Drosophila melanogaster: one gene and its partner. The protein of the gene in region 1 purifies or fractionates together with the protein of each later gene. This does not show direct contact. Each region holds a gene or a part of one and is shown on either strand. Other genes may lie near its edges.

Region 1 (9,483 bases):
GAGTGGACAACTATTGGCTAGATATAATCCAGCTATGATCAAGCTCTTCTCAACGACGCGCCACGAAAGGCGCAGAAAGACATTGTATATATTCGTAGTAGGTCCTGCTAAAAGTAAAAGTAAAGTTATATAATCTAGCTGTGATTGAATAAAGACAAGATGAAACCAATTCAAAACCTGAATAATATGGGAATAGGCAGAGTTACTTCACTTTTCTGTCCATTGCTAAAATTGTTCTTCGAGTGCAGAGTCAACAAAATTGGGTTTATTAACTCGATCGGGTGTTCTCATCAATCGCAGCCATTTGCACTTGAATTTAAAAATAATTATAAGCTATGCCACACTACTGCTTCTTCGCCTTGGGTTCCCAGGCCTCCACTTTGTTGGGTGTTGTGGAGTAGGGGTAGTAGGCCTCTGCAAGAGCAGGATTGAATTAGGGGGCTTACTTAATGGGAATAGTGCATAGTTACCCTTAGTTCCGGAAAGATTCTCGCTGTGGTCCGCTATCCACTTGTACTTGGGGCGGCATCCATCGCGAATGGGAGGCAGATCGGTCTATAAGGAAAAAGGTAATAACATGTGCGACAAGATGTAGTCTAAACCCACCTTGTAGTGCATCCAGCCGTACCACTCGGCGGGAATCATGGATCCATCGTAGTCCATGTTGACGTGGGGGGCGAACTCGATCCAGCGATTGCGGCCGTAGAAGTAGTACGGGTTCTCGAAGTACTTGTTGCCGTACTTGTCGATGCCCACCAGGGTTCCGATCTTCAGATCATCGTTCCTGGAAAATAGCGCATATGCGGTTTTCAGGATTGGAGCAATCTTATATAAGATCGAGACTCACCTATAGAGCTTCAGGTACGCTTGCTTCAGTCCTCCGGCTTCGCGGACCATCTGGAACAGCTTTGTCAGCCGGTTGATGCCCAAAAACTTTGCCATGCTGCCGGGAAAACCCAGAAATATATTAAACGTAAATAATTTCGATTTTCTTGGACTCACTTGAAACAAAAACAAAGTCAATCTGCAGTGTGGCCAGGAGAGGTCAAAAGCACCAGCTAGAAATACTGAATCATATCAATCATATTCTTTGAAGTAAAAATGGAACAAGATTGGTCGAAACCTACTCTCAAAATATTTTTAAAGCTCATTAGACTTTCATTTGCTGAGATAAGTGATTGTGAAACTCATGTTTTTTGTTGCTTGGATGTATCCTGTGCATTATTGGCGCTTTGGTAATAATACTGCAGCTAGTATTTTCTGAGGTTCGGCCACACTGCCACTCATCTGTTTTGCCTTGCCGGATTTTGTGATTCATATTTTTGTAGAGAAAAGTGGTGGGAATTTAGCGAAAACATGGCCAAAAACACGTCCAGCAACGCGTTCCGCAAGATCGATGTGGACCAGTACAATGAGGACAACTTCCGGGAGGATGATGGGGTGGAGAGCGCGGCAGCCGGTCCGGATGAGAGCGAGATTACGACGCTGCTGACGCAGGGAAAATCCGTGGAGGCGCTCCTGAGTGCGCTGCAGAATGCCCCGCTGCGCTGCAAGAACCAGAATGTGAAGGTGGGTAGCCACACCTATTCGTATCGAGAACCCTATAAAGCTAATCCTTCCTTGCATTGCAGGACCACGCCCTGAACATCACGCTGCGGGTGCTGCTGTCCATCAAGTCGACGCAAATGGACCAGGCCATCGACACCTTGGACCAGAACGACCTAATAGACGTGCTGATGAAGTACATATATCGGGGATTCGAGATCCCCTCGGAGGGCTCCAGTGGCCACCTGCTGCAGTGGCATGAGAAGGCCTTCGCCAAGGGAGGAGTGGGCTGCATTGTCCGCGTGCTGTCCGACACAAATCGCGCCTAGAGGAGATCAGCACAGCCAAAGGCGGTCATAGAGTCACTACCCCAACTGTTCCCTGCCCCATAAACCGATTCATACGCATCGCGGAGCATTTAATCAACACAGGATTGGAGCACTGGACACCACATCCTTATCTTCGGGATTTGCCACGCCCCAGCTGGAACCCACTTCTGTTTCTTCGCCGCAATACAAATGACGTTTTCCAAATTAGATTTTAACTGGTATCCAAGTATTAAAGTTTTTATTACGAAAGGTGAGTGGCAGTGATTTCAATCAGGGGAACGAACGTACTTCTAGTTCACTCAAGCCACACCTACATGTAACATAATTTGTAAGAAAAATTTTGTTTTTAGTAAGGCTAAGCAATTGCTACGCATCTCAAAACTCAGGAAGATTCAACTCCTATCAGATTTAAACACTTATTAATCTTCAGACTGAGCCTAGCAACTTTACGAACATAATGGCTTATCTAATCGAAATTCCAGGTGTATCATTCAACATGATGACGTTGCCTTCGTAAACTTTTAGCTGCCGTGACAGAAAACACATCTACTATGTTTGAATCAACCTTTTCTGCTTTATTTGACTATTCAATGTGTAATAAGTGCTTTGAGTAACCTAATCAAACCAATCACGGCGTCTACAACTTCTTATTAATTTAAAAAGCGGAGAGGCTCGATGATAGACAAATGCCAGGCGAATAGAAATGCGAGTTGGCTAAATGAAAGGCCCAGAATTTGGGGGTCGCATGCAATTTGATGATATTTCAGTGCTCGGTAGGGGGAACATTTAACAAAGGAGTTCGTTCTCTTTGAACGCGTCTTCAATAAATAGTTTTTATGTTGCTTATATGCGGGGATTATTAAGTCGAAACGGGTTGCTCCAATCGCTGACCAGCCTACCACATGTGGGTCTCGCGGATTTCGCTGATGATGTGATTCGCTCGCGTCAGTGCCTGAAATCAAAAGTAAGTTTAAAACGATGTCAAGCTAAGTATAAGCTAGCCAAGCGCACCTTCAGCATATCTGCCGCCTCTTTTCGGCGCACTGCAATGTGATCGGACTCGTTGAGCAGGGTTTCAGCCTTATCCGACTTATACAGATGTGTAACCAATTCGCTCTGCAAGTTGTCCTTAACGTAGTTAACCAAGAAATGCATGATGGCCTTTGGAACCGAGTCTTGTATGGATTTGCGCACAATGTAGAAATACGATTTGATCAGGTGTTCTAAAAACAAAAAGTAGTCAGATTGAGTTAGGTCTTTAAGTGGCCCGAGTTAAGTGCAACCCACCGATGACATCGCAATCCTTCTGCTCCTTGTCAGTGAGGCGACGTGGATTGTGGTTGGCCGGCACATCGGGCAGCAGATTGACCGGCTTCACTGGACTCACGATGTTATTGTGAACCGGAGTGTTGTTGGTCGAGTTCTCAATGCTGTCCGGACGCGTTGGTGCCGGCGGTAAAATGTTTGACAGCCATGTGCTGGCCATCGAAGGCGTCGAGTTCTCGGCGACGTGGTTCTAGAGAGCGAAACGAAAATGGGTTAAATAGGTTGCATACATAAATGAAGATTCCGCTGGCACCTGCTCATGCACTTGGCTATATTGCTGCTGTGAGGAATTCGGCTGCGGCGGCTGTTGCTGCTGCGGCTGCTGTGAACCAGCACTGTGCGACGAAATCTGAGGCGACATGTGGTTTCGCGGTGTATTGGCCCGCCGCTGCCCCAGATTTATCTGTGAGTAGGGATCGCTGTCCGTTTTCAGCAGACTGGGCACCAAAGCGGCATCCTTGTGGAAGTCGGGGTGCTTGGTGTTGATGTAGGCCAGCTCGATGGCCACAATGTTCTCCACCATCACGTTGGTGTGCGGCAGACGTCGACGCAGCAGCTGGGTGACCACGTCCACAATCTTCTCGTGCAGTTTGGGAAAGCTGTAGGGGAGATCGATGAAAACCTTTGGCGTTCAGCTATCATGAGTTCACATACCGCAGCATCTCCTGCTGCACTTCGTTGCCACAATGCTGAACAATGCGCTGCATCTCCTCGTGAATGAGTTCCACGCAGCGCAAGGAGGGTTCCTCCAGGCGGCGAATCTGGCGCTTCACTAGCAGTTCGAACGAGACCTCCGGAACGAACAAAGCCGGGCGTGGACCAGTGGCATTCCGGATGGCTGTCAGTATGTCCATCTTGCTCAGACCCGCCAGCGGGTGAATGGAGTCCAGGGTGCGGCCGAAGGTCTCGTGGAAAATGTAGCCCATCCGGGCACCGCCGCACAGTTCCGTGGTCTCGATATTCCTGGCCGTGCCCTCGATTGTGCAGCAGTAGGCGCTGGAGAACTTCGTGATGATCTGCAGCAGGGTCTGGCTCTTGTCGGAGACATCCTCGCCATAGGAGTTCAGCAGCGATTGGAATTGCGTGGCCATGATGTTGACGCGAGTCTGCAAGAATATGGGAAGTCATTCTCTTGAATTCAACATGCTATTCTAACCTTATCTGCCATTAATCTTCTCTTGCTTTACCATAGAAAAATATAAAGATCGATTATAATCGAGTGCCAAGTTTGTTTCATTTTTTTACATTTTCTTGAAGTTTTAGCCTGAGATTCTCGCATAGTTTGTGAAATCGATATGCAGTCTTTATAGACTAGACTCACCTTAAGATCTGGCAGGCAGTCCCGGATGTGGTGCATCAGGAGCCGGTTGAGGGTCTTGGCCAAGTAGGGCGTGCCGTTCCGGGTGGCCAGAGTGGGATACTTGCGCTGCAGGAAGGCGGCCTCGTCCTTCATCTGATCGTCGATGTGCTTTTGGTCCATGATGTCCTTCTGCGAGCGATTCATAACGCCGATGATGCCCAGCTTGACGGGAATGACCCGGCCGCACAGGATGTCGATGGCATCGGTGCCGGCATCCATGAGATCCAGTTTCGTGACCACGGCCAGAGTGCGCCGGCCATCGGGGTCCACGTCCTTGGCCAGCTTGAGTGCCTCACTGGTGGCCATGTCCGTGTTGGCGGCCGTCACAGCCAAAATGATGGAGTTCGGGTTCTCAATGTACTTGAGGACCAATTCTTTGATCTGCGCCTCGATATCCTCCGGCTGATCGCCCACCGGGACCTTGGTGATGCCGGGCAGATCCACCAGCGTTAGGTTGACCACGTGCGTTGAGAATATCTTCAGGTTGATGGGCTCCGGGCAGATGCCCTTGTTGCTGCCCGCCGCCCGCTCCGTTTCGTTTTCGATCTCCTTGCGGATCTCGTCAAAGTCCGTGAAGCACTTCTTGGTGTGCAGGAAGCGGCCCCACTCCTCGGCATTGGACGTACCTAAGTGTTATGTGGTTTAGCAATTGGGTTTTCCCGAACTTCTGACGTCTCAACTCACCATTTTCCGCCGAGCGATTCTCGCGATCATCGAGTGGGCTGTAGATCAGCTGGAGCACCAGTGGGCGACGGGTCACAATACCAGTTCCACGGGGCAGAAAGGATCGTCCCACAACGCTCTCGATCACCGAACTCTTGCCGGAGCTCTGGAAAAAAGGGGAAATGTATGTATTACTGGGAGTTAAAACGACGGCTGATAAAAGACGATGACCTGATAAGGTGGCTCCCAAGCGTTTGCAGCGAGGAAACACTTGGAAAACCGCAGATTAACTATTCTTATCTGGCAATGGGAGCCATTCTGTGATTGCAAATTTCTCAAACTTAAGCCTTTGCAACAGAAAACCAAATGAATGGTAAGAAATGGCACAGATTCAACATATTGGAGCTCCGCTGTACTCGGTATCAATGAGTTGCGCGAGCATTTAGTCATACTGACTTAATTCCAGAGCGTGAATCAAAGTGCAATTAAGCCAGCGATCGAAACATGCACACATATATGTACATACAGACACAACTATCGAAGTCACACATGTGTACGTTTGTTTTTTGCAGTGTGTTCGTGGGGGAATGTGTCACATCAGCCAGCAGCTGTTTTTTTTTTCGTTTTTGTATAATACTGTGGCATATTGATTTTCCATGGCGGCGGCGAGCAGTGCCAAAAATAATTATATAAACAATGGGGACGCCGCGAAGAGCGAAAGCTGGCTGAAATGTTGCTACAAACTGAAAACACAACTAAAATGCCGGCAAACGCACTCAGTTATATAATTTTGCGGTCACTGGAAAAGCGCAAGAGTTGGGGTTTCAGATAGCTGCGCCATATTCCGGTTCTCAGTTGCCACTCCTTTTACGGAGCTCGGGGATTTATGGTTTTCGGTGTGCGGATTTTTGGGCACCTCGCAGTTTGCATTTACCTGACTGCCTAGAACAACAATTTGGGGCAATTGGATGGAGTCGGAGCCCACGGTGTTGAAGACGTCCTGCAGCTTGTTTATGACCGGAATTAGGGCCTCCATTCTGAGTGTGTGTGTGTGCTGGGTTCCTTTGGTCGCGTTCCACTCGGCTGGCGATTAATTCGCGCACATAAAGGCCGTTCTTTTCGGCTTTTTCTGATTGACGCGAGCACCGAAATTATTTTTGCAAACCGCCAGTGTTGCACAGCAAATTTAGACTGTTTTTCTAGCGGTGTTGCCACACGGGCGGAACTTGCTGCTATCGGCAGTCCCTAGACGAGGTTGCCACCGTGCGCGAGAGTGCTGCCAATCTATTCCAAAAGGGCAGCTTTCTGTGCGCGCCAAAATTGAATTTTTGGGTGTTTCCAATTTTGCCCGTTAGTTGCGTGTATTGAATACTTTACACAAATAAAGAAAGGTATGATTTCATAACATTACTTAAAATCCCCCAATAGCTACAAAATATGAATGTCCTTTTCTTTTTGTTTTGTTTCATATTTTGCCTTTTTACTTATTTTATATGCACATGAGGAGTTTGTATTGATATGGACCAAACAAAAGGGGTCCTTACAAACCAATCTGAAAACTCACACACCACAATCTAAATCTGGCAGAATCTCAATATATTCATCGTATCTAACTAAATTGAAAAACTACACAGAGTAGGCGCATTTCTGAATACCCTTACAGACATAACAGTGAAAATGAATATATAGCATAAATATATTGTCTTTGATTTTGTCTAATTTCTGCAGAAATAAAGGACTATTTAAACGAAGAAATATTAAAGTTGGAGCAGCCGCCAAGTGGTCAGACCACGTGGCCCAAAATAGGGAAAAGGAATAATCTGGGGACCGGCCTCAAGTGCTCGAGATTTGCATGGGCGGTTGGGATGGGGACTTCCCCGGTTTTATATAAGAATTGCAGGGCAGTGAGCTGTGCCCCAAAACCAAAAAGGGGGCTACCCGACTATTTCTCGACCACACTCGATTGCCTGCCTGGCATGCATTGTGGGCGAAATGCCGGGCTCATCTGTCGTTTTTATCGGTTTATTTCAATGTTCGAGGATGCTTGTCGCCCGGTACACTAAGCATTCAAATTTCGATAGTGGCCTGGCCCAAATGGACCAGAATATTGGACGTACATATGTATGTACCACATCCATGTGCATAGAAGCCCCCACTCACGTATGCATCATGTGTCCTATTTGATAACAGTTCCCATTGTTGTTTGGCCAGCTCCTCCTGGCTGCTCCCAATTGAAAATGACAATGAAAATTGTTACAAGTTGGCTGATATCATTTTGCAATGCTCGCTTATCTCTTTAATGGCTTCCAAGCGATTTGAATATGCTTGGGATGATTTAAGATGACTTATTATTTACAATCCCATTGAAGTATCGAATTGTTTGAGTTTATTGTTCCGATCGCAGGATGGTAATATCGATTATAAGTAGTTTCAAAATTTAATCATTCCACTTCAAAATTAGTTACGCCATCCATGAAACTTTGATCATTCAAGTTTGGGATACTGACTAATCTCATTTCTTGCCCCATTATTATACATTCTGGCATTTTTCGAACTGCAAGTGGGCTTCTTTAGCATTTTCATAGATAAACTTTCGGCTTCCAATTAACAAATTTGGCTGGCAACTTTGCCAGCACACCTCTGCTGTATCTGTGTGTTTGAGTGTGTATAAATATTTCAAAATTTCCCCCATCAAATTGGCATTGTTGGACCGGGGAACTTTCGTATCTCTGGCTTGACAACTTGCCGAAATGTGCGGCGTGGAAAACTTCTTGAGTTTGAGTTGACAGTTATTGCGAAAGACGGGCGGGGGTGATGGTGATGGGGCACGCCCCCTTCTCGGGGCCGGAATATTAATTTGATAATTTCACGGCTGAATGCAAATTCGGTGTCAGGGTCCTTGGCTCTCTAATTGACTGACGAATACTTAAAATATGAATTTCAAATGAAGTTCAGCCATTGTCTGCTTTCTGGCTTTCTTTTGCCGCTTTTCGACTTGGCGCGATTAATTATGGAGTGATGATGATGATGATGGTGATGATGATGGTGTAGTTGAAGCTGGAGCAGCCTCTGCCCTCCGGTGGAGCATTAATCATGTGAAAGTAATTTTGCACATTTGCATGCGTTGCACAAAGCGATAATTTTCATCCATCATTTTCAAGTGTTTCCGCAGGATTATAGTGCTGCAAGGAGTCGCCAGCCTTTCGCTGTCATATCCTGCGTGTGTGCAGGATGGGTAGTCGCCTCATTATCCATCGCCATGTCGTCGTCAATTATTCTTGTTCTGCAGCCAGCCTGCAAGAACTTTGCATTTAGTTGATGAGCTTCTCTGCCCTGGTGGAAACCACGAAGTCCTCATGCTCCTCCTGCTCATCCTGCTCCTTTGGTGCTTTGCTCTTTTGTGCCTCGATGCCTTTGGTTTTCGGGACTCGGCTTTCATCTTTCGGCTGACTGCCAGTTGATCAATGGCTCTGCCCGTTTTCCATGGTGTTTCATGCAATTACGTATTTATATTGCGTATACGCCATGTGAATACGACGGATGGATGGAGAGCCCTTGAAGTAGGCGGCGTTACGGGGCGGAAACTTCTCCGTACGTTCTCGCCACAACTGCTGCAATAATGAACTTTGATTTTGCCCCTTTGCAATTCCCGGAATCATGAATGTTCCACAGCTTGTGGTCTGGCTGGAAAATGCGGAGCGCGAGCTGGGAAATATGCGATATAATTGCTGATTGATGCGGTTTGAAGGAGGTTGCTCTTTATGCTCTCGCACATTTTAATATAAAACTTGGTTGAAAGTATACAATACATTTTTATTCAATAACTGAATATATATGCATAATAATAAATTAGATATATCTCTTTTTTCATCATTACCATTACTAAACCCATTAAAGGACCATGAAGTGTGGCCATAACCGACTCTATCAAGTGGGTTGAATTATGAAGGCCATGTGTGCAGCCGCTTGGTTGGGTTTTTCGGTGCGCCCCGGATCTTGGCAGGATGTGGTTACCATTTAGCAGATGTCGCCGCTCTTGGCACCCAGCTCCTTGGCCATTAATCTGCCTGGGAACGCGGCTGCCAGATGCCTGCTGCCTTCTACTGCGGAAAGTGCGAAAGTATCGCACACATGTTTCCCTTATTTATATTTTGGCAATGCTCTGGCTGCATGTTTAATTGGATTTGCAGCTAAGCGGAATTAGAAGTGTGGGCGGAAAAGTGGGGAGCATTTGCATACTCCAGCTGTGGCGGAAAACCT
Region 2 (8,020 bases), on another chromosome or scaffold:
TAACAGAGACGCTGGCGACGGCATCGGCCGTTCTGAAAGCGTCTGGAATCCGCCGTCAGCCGATCGGGATTACAGTCAAGCCTCACTAAGAGAAACTTATGGGCTAGTCTTGCTGATTCGCGGAATATTTCGGAAGAATACTCGTTGATAGAAAAAAAAATATGATAAATTTACCAATTCCTAATACAACATAAGAAATTTACAATGAGTCTAAACAATGGATTTGTTTCTAAAAGTTATTCATGTCCGGAAATTACGACTGTAAGTAAGGAACATCTGGCTGCTGGTCGGCATATGAACCGATCCTCAGCTTCCACAAGGGGCTCACTGATAACGCTATCAATTGAGATTTGGTGGAGATTTACATCACCTAACCCGGAGTCACTGTGTCAGTTCAGTTTAACAGCCTATTTGAGCTTTTAATTATCAGCTGCCCCTCCACCACAGCGAACGCAAATGAATATCATCAGCGACTGGAATATAATTAATTTCATTCAATTACAAAAACTCTGTCGATGGCAACAATGTTGCAGTCCGCAGTGAAGCCTACGGAAAAGTCATTGCTGGGGGTGGTGCACATATGTGTGTATGTACATATGTGGCTGGGGAGAGAGACAAATATTCTTAGAAACGGGTGTGGGGAAGCCAAGTAGTGGAAAATGTTTGCGCTGTGATAGTAGAATTGATTAGGTTGATACTCTGCCGGATTCCAATTAAACATAAGCATGCTTTGACAGCCCCATGCTGACCATCAAGATTACAATTAGTTTTGCTGTGGGGTGTATGGATGTCACGCTTCTTGGCAATCGGCCCATTTTGATCACTTCTAAAGATACTAGGTATGCAAATGCTGAGAAGTATCTGTTTTCTCGACTTTCACACCGGACAGCAGTTTACGTAGTGACGATGAGCACCGAAAGTGTGGTGCGCCAGGGAACTTAGGCCTTAGGTTGATCTGATTCAATAGTTCGGTTGGATCATTTAAAAAATCTTACATAAGTTCAAAAATAAAGAACGACACCTTTATCGTCTGAGTCCGATATCCAAGAAAATGTTCTTTTTGCTACGAACGCGTGAGCAATTCAATGTGGGATCAATCCTAAATGTGGATTACTCGTAGAACAAAAAGGGCTTACTTGATTCTTTGGCAATTATGTAACAGTTAGGAGGAAGCGTTTCAGACCTTAAAGGGATCACTAACCGAGTCGATGCCCTTTTTCGATATTGATGATATTTTTCAATAATTTTATTACGTGTGTAAATTTCTATGGATTTGCCAAAAAAAAATTTGCCACTAAATGCGCCAAGCCGGACGCTTTTAAACAATTTTTAACGGGTATCTGATATTCGGGGCACCGACTATAGCATTCTGTCTTTTTTTTTAAATATGGCAAGCAAAAGTTGGCCTGTTTATTTTTTATCTCATTTTTAAAACTTCTGATAACAAGAACACCTGTTAATGACTCAAACAAATTTCTTTTAAGCCTTGAGGTCCTATCCAAGGAATCTTTTGGGTCCCAACCGGAATGTGCGTTTATTGATCCGAAACCAAAGTCCTCCACGGGTAATATCGCCTCCAAAAGGAGCGACCGATGCTTGCATCGCTGATCTCAGATCTTAGATCGAAGAATACGGACAATAATCGTTTAGAGATAAAAGATCCAAAATTTGCGAACATCACATTTATAAGTTTGTAGTTCGCTCCCCCACAGTCTTGATATTGGCGGCAAGATGTTCTCTCGAAAAGCTTATTCCAGAGCTTTTCGTTTCGATAAAAGTTGGACTGCAGATCTGAAAGAAAGTATAATATGTAAATATCTTGAGAAGTTAATAAAATGGGTGATAAAGTAATACGACATTGGTAATTATCAAAATAGTCGGTATTCGGATTTGGAACCGGCGGAACGATGCTTCTTAGATTGATCTGATTCAATAGTTCGGTTAGATTCATTTAAAAAATCTTACATAAGCTTAAAAAACGAGAACGACACCTTTATCGTCCTAGTCCGATACACTGCAAAAATTCGCGTATCAGCGTTATTTTTATCAAAAAAATTATCTTTTTGTTACGAACGCGTAAGCAATTCAAGGTGGGATTAATCCTAAATGTGGGGATAGTTCAGCAAACTAACATTATAAAGAATATTTAATTACACACGTTACTCATCATAAAAAAGGATAACTAACCGAGTCGGTCTGGCCATGTCAATCTGGCAAGCAGATTCTACACACGACTGTGGAAGATTGTTTGAGAACGTTGCTATGCAATCGCTAATGCACAAAACTGTTACAACTACATTTTTGAAACAAGTCGGTATTTTTTCCATTTTATTGAATTATTTAGTTTATTGATCCAACGAAACGAAAGTCCTCCTCGAGTAATATCACCTCCAAAAGGGGCGACCGATGCCTGCATCTCTTATCTGAGATCATAGATCGAAGCCTACGGACATTTATCGTTTAGTGATAAAATATTTAAGTTTTTGAACATCACATTTAGCAGTTTGGAGATCGCTCCCTTACAGTTTTGAAATTGGCGGCAATAGCTTTCTGGTTCCATAACAGTTTTAGATCCGAAAGTAAGTATAATATATCTTGAGAAGTTAATCAAATGGTTGTCAGAGTAATACATCGTTGGTGAAAAAAATTTGGTTTCCATTTTACAATTATATCAAAGCAATCGGTATTCGGTTTCGAGAGCGAAGCCGTTATTTCGAAACCGTTACCGCGAACCGGTTCCCAGCGAGCCGCGGCTCGCCAGTCGCGAAAACACAACGAATGCACAATCTAGAGGTGGAGAAATATTGATGTTGGCGGGCATCAAAGCTTCCAATGTTTTTGGCGAAAAACATCGATGTTTAAAATAAAAACAACAAAATTTACCTGCTTAATTTAATGATTATTTTTTAATATTGCTTAAATAAAAAGGCAGTACTTTAAGAAAAGAAAAACAAACTTATTGTCGTCTCCGTTTTCATCAGCCGCTGGTCCAATAGTTGCTCCTATAAAACAAATTAATACAATTAAATGGAAAAGTAAACCAGTATGCATACGAGCAACTGCAAGTGCACAAATCGGGAGTTCAAAACTAACATTTCAGATATTAATCCATGTGCTATGTTATGCTTTTAATAATTGCATTAGAAAATATGGAAAATTAATTTGTACTTACAATTCATACACTTTTCTTCTCCGATGCGCAGTAGAGATGGAAAAACATCGATGTTTTCTCGAAAAACATCGATGTTTATGATTTTTCAAAAACATCGATGTTTCTCCACCTCTACAACGAACGCACAATCACAAGCGCCGCTCGCGAGAACGAGAACGGGAACTCGAAAGAACCTAGATCGCTGATCGGAGAACCGTGGAACCCGTGGAACCGTAACCGTGAAAGTGGGGAATCGAAGATAGAACGGAGAGGGTGGTAGGCCGATTCCCTCTCCCCACTGCCCGTTGAAATTCAGAATACTAAGCTCTCGGTTAAACGCGGCGAAAAAGAAAGCAAGCTCTGAGCGGCTGAAAAAAAAATGAAGTGAAATAAAACTGGGATCGCGGCACCAGCAACAAGTTTTAGTGGCTCTTCTTTGTGCGTTTCGTTCGTGTTTGCTGCCCTGCGCTTTGCTCGCCACATTCGTCGCCGACTTTTATTTTGTTTTGCCCATTTTATCAGAATCGGAGCACCTCCAAAAAAGCCCAAGACGAGCTGAGCCTCAGCTGCGTCGAGGTGAGCTGATCCACTCCGCTCCCCTTTCGTGCGCTGCCCACCGCTCCCCACCGCTCACACCCGATCCCATCCAATCCAATCCGATCCGCTCCGCTCCGAGTGCATAGTGCATGCAAAGTCGCGGGGCTGGGCTTTCGGAATTACACAACCCACATGGGGCAGCGCCAACAAAGGCCTCAGCAGCAACAATAGCGGGCAGCCAAGCATTGCCCTGCCCTCGACTTCGACCATGGCTCCCACCACCAGTCCGCCACCCAAGCTGGCCAAGTTCAAGTCCTCGTCGCTGGACCACGAGATCTACACGGCCAATCGCCGCGGCACCATTGCCACGGCCTCCAGCGACTGGAAGGCGCTCCGCGGAGGCGTCGGTGGAGGAGCAGGAGGACCCGGTAGCGTACCCAATCCCTCTAACGGACGCTCCCTTCACGCCGGCGGACCCATGACACGGGCCGCCTCCACATCCTCGCTGGCTAGCAGTACGCGCACGATGACTAACTACCAGGAGTACAAAATGGATATCATCAACCAGGTGAGGACCAGAAATGGGTGACCAGTGGCTCCGTCCTTTGCTATGGACAATTTGGGAATTATTTAGTTGAAGTCTTGAGAGTATGCTGGGACTGTTGCCTTATAAAGTAAGCGTCTGATTCAGCATATGTTCAAAAAAATTTACGAGTGTTACTCAGCCAATGGAATTGCAAGGAAGTTAAATAGGGAGATATTCACCAGCAAAGTGAGTGTTTCAGCAAGGAACTATTGAATGCCTTGGATTAGCTTTAATCTTTTGCAGAATTCTAGAATTCCGATGGGTATTCTTAAATATAAGACCAATTCGTACACATAGAGGCAGCTATGTATGTATGTATGTGGTCCAGACCAAGCAGATGTCTTCCTTATAGGCCAGAATTCTCTAAAATTATACAATTACAGTCATTTCGGTTGGAAAATTAGAAAAACTAAGCCAAGATAATACAAATTAAATTTGCAAGTGGTTTTAAAAGCATTATGAACTTTAGCGGTCAAGGCTTTGTTACAAATAATTTATATTCTTTTGACAAGTTTTCAGGGCTCATATGCATTGTTTTAATGTTGAAATTTACAATAGATACTTCTTCGATAAATAAGACTTCTTATAGTTCATAGCAATGCGCCTGGTGATATAAAAGTTTAATCAACACAAATACTTAAATTTCTTAAGAGGTTGAGGACATGTGCTTTACTTTAAGGTGTAATTATTTTAAACATGACTCGGTTTCAACCCACATTTAAATATATAGTTTTGCGTTAAAATAGTTAAAAACCTTGATAATAGTTATATATATTAGTTGTTATAGTTATTCTATTCCAGCCTTATGTTGCCACTCAATGTTTTTTTTTTAAATTATTTTAAGTAATATCTAACGTTATCAACATAGAATGAGTCAGAAAATAAACTGGTCATGCATCGGAACATGTGCACATAATTAAAACCGATTTTTGAGACATACATATAAATACAACAGTTTGGTGATTAAATATTCAGCAAGTACGCAAAATGAGAAACACAACACAAAACTAAAAGAAAAAGCTGTTCAAACAAATTGCCTAATTTCGTGGACAAATTTCGAAATTGCCAAAATGAAACGGAACAGACAACTGCAAACAGATTCCAATTTAATGTGCAGAACTGTTTGCGGTATCAACTAATTTTCGATGGCTCTGATCGAGGACGATCCATCCGAATCTCTGCTATCCACCATTTGGGTCTTGACTGTCTCAACTTAATTGATAAGGCAAATATTTTTGTTTCCACCATTCGTTTATCTGAGACTGATAAAACTATTTACTCCGCTCCTCCAGGTGAGCGACATGTAAAGTGTTTATTAAATATATTTGCCTATGTGGTTGCTTTCGCCGGGCTGATAACTTCTTGAGGAATTTATCATTAAGCGCATTGCGGAAGTTTTCTCAGAATGCAGTCCTCTAAAGTAAACGCCATTTTCTCTGACAAATCAGATGGAATGGGCCATAACCAGGCTGCATAGAGGTTTTCAAGGAAAATAATAGCAACTAAAGAAAAGGGAAGAACCGCGAAAGCGCCACGGGTGGAACCATTATAAACAAGTATTCCAAAAATAAACCGACCACTAACTATACAACCCGAAAGCCTCAGGTGATGAATTCATCGAACTCTGGCCATTCAAGTAAATCTTATGGTATTTGGTCGCACCAAACCCGCCAAAAGGAAAGAGTTGGGCGCACAAGTGTTCGCCATAACAAGATCACGTAAACAAATTGACGGATTTATTAATATTTCGCTGGGAGGCTGGACGGGTTCGGAGTAGCTTCGATAGACTTTTCAAGACACTAGCTTCAAGGCCGGTGATTTGGCATGGGCTTGATTTCTTTGGCTGGCCATGTCATAAGTCAAGTTGGCTCCAAAGTGAGTAATTGTCTGTTTACTTGGCTGCGGAATCGTTGGCGTGACGAACGGTAATTGTGCGACATAAATTGTCGAAGGAAACTTGCAACTAAATGGGTCGGAATTGAACGCAACATGGTGGGGAATGCCTTAATTACGCCAAACGTTTCGCGTCTTTCAGATTCCATAAGTAAATTTTTAGTTGTCTTAATGCCTTTCCACAGCACGTGCTGATCGCTTCTTTTGTTTAAGTCGTTGTTCAAAGTTTATTACCGCCATGTGCACCTGCCATCAGTTTGGCTGCATGTTTAGATACTCTGTAAGAGGTGTGATTGAAATAGCCCAGGTGTCTACGGAATCCTGTAAACGGATTCAGAGCGACGTAAATAGAACATATGCATGTTCGCCGGAAAACTCGAGGCAGTCGATTGATATTGTTTAAGTGGCCCGCTGATGGAGCGAAATTGCCTGGCAATGATCAAAGCACTGTAGTTAATTTGATTGTGATTGAACTTTTGGCTTTGTCGTTCTATTCCAGGGGAAATGTCTGTGTGGTCAGTACATCAGAGCGCGGCTGCGACGGGCAGGAGTCCTCAACCGGAAGGTGACACAGCGTTTGCGCAACATCCTGGACCCCGGCTCCTCGCACGTGGTCTATGAAGTTTTCCCGGCACTGAACAGCGTGAGTGTACTGCCATTCGCCATTGAATCTTTTCATAACATGGTATAATCCACAGATGGGCGAGGAACTGGAGCGGATGCACCCGCGGGTGTACACAAACATATCGCGACAGCTGTCGAGGGCCCCGTTTGGCGAGCTGGAGGACAGCGACATGGCGCCCATGTTGCTCAACCTAGTTGCCAAGGATCTTTTTCGCTCCAGCATCACCTGGGGCAAGATAATCTCGATATTTGCCGTATGCGGCGGCTTTGCCATAGACTGCGTGCGCCAGGGACATTTCGACTACCTACAGTGCCTGATTGACGGTCTGGCTGAGATCATAGAGGACGACCTGGTCTACTGGCTGATCGACAACGGCGGATGGTTGGGCCTGTCGCGGCACATCCGACCCCGGGTCGGCGAATTTACGTTCTTGGGATGGTTGACGCTGTTCGTGACTATCTCTGCAGGCGCATATATGGTCTCAAACGTGTGTCGGCGCATTGGAGGTCAACTGTATTCGCTGCTGTTCTAGATTCGCTTGGGATCGCGTCGTTAAGAAATACAATCGTACCATTTAGTCAATGAGAGCTTCAAATCATTCCTGCTTCCATGGGCACCAGTCGTTTAGTAGTATGTAACGGACCCTGTTTTACGTATAATATTGTTATTCCCTTTCTCCTCTTTTTGTACATACAAGGCTATTCTAGGCGCAATAAAGCGTGTGTTGTAAACTTTTTTTTCGAATTTGGCGCGAAGTCTGGGTGTTATGCACGGAACTGCATTACTTTATGTCCGTGTTTAGCAACACTGGAAACGCCGTGGAGGTGCCAATATTTTGAGTACGACAATTCGTCTTTAAAATGTTATAGTGCCCAATCTTTGACTGTTGAACAGTGTATCTGTTACCAGAAATTAAAGACGAATCGACTAACATAATCTCTCAGTTAAACAAAAAATATAAAAGTTAACTTTGCTGACAAAAGTTTTTATAATTTTGTAATTACTGGTTCAATGTTCTAGTCTTTAAAATAAATGTTATTAACATTTTAAATTTTGATTGTTAGCCTTGCCACCCAGCTAAAACGCAAATACTTACCCAGCCCTGTGGCAACGCTTCGATTTCCAAAAACCATTTGTTATTATTGCTGTGGATCTGCCCATTATTATTTGTTGTAAATAAAGATTGGAGCAAATTATGCCATGTCATGTAAGTGCACTGATTCCGTGG

Evidence for each region. Proteins that work in one complex are often made in the same cells at the same time.
Region 2: the proteins of Drp1 (region 1) and Debcl purify together in Drosophila melanogaster (affinity purification with western blotting, with the first as the bait; one study listed by BioGRID). This does not show direct contact.

What each region holds. Positions count from the first base shown.
Region 1 is NT_033779.5:2,579,013-2,588,495, forward strand, and holds Drp1 (dynamin related protein 1), read right to left. Parts: upstream 6,419-9,483; 5' UTR 6,260-6,418; coding exon 6,158-6,259; intron 5,390-6,157; coding exon 5,245-5,389; intron 5,187-5,244; coding exon 4,522-5,186; intron 4,307-4,521; coding exon 3,855-4,306; intron 3,800-3,854; coding exon 3,454-3,799; intron 3,391-3,453; coding exon 3,162-3,390; intron 3,098-3,161; coding exon 2,886-3,097; intron 2,827-2,885; coding exon 2,770-2,826; 3' UTR 2,269-2,769; downstream 1-2,268. Other genes in the region: ND-B17.2 (NADH dehydrogenase (ubiquinone) B17.2 subunit), read right to left, coding at 344-414, 471-555, 607-784, 848-942; Arpc5 (Actin-related protein 2/3 complex, subunit 5), read left to right, coding at 1,357-1,569, 1,632-1,874.
Region 2 is NT_033778.4:6,645,323-6,653,342, forward strand, and holds Debcl (death executioner Bcl-2), read left to right. Parts: upstream 1-3,331; 5' UTR 3,332-3,956; coding exon 3,957-4,256; intron 4,257-6,666; coding exon 6,667-6,810; intron 6,811-6,865; coding exon 6,866-7,324; 3' UTR 7,325-7,520; downstream 7,521-8,020. Other genes in the region: Opbp (Optix-binding protein), read left to right, coding at 7,993-7,999.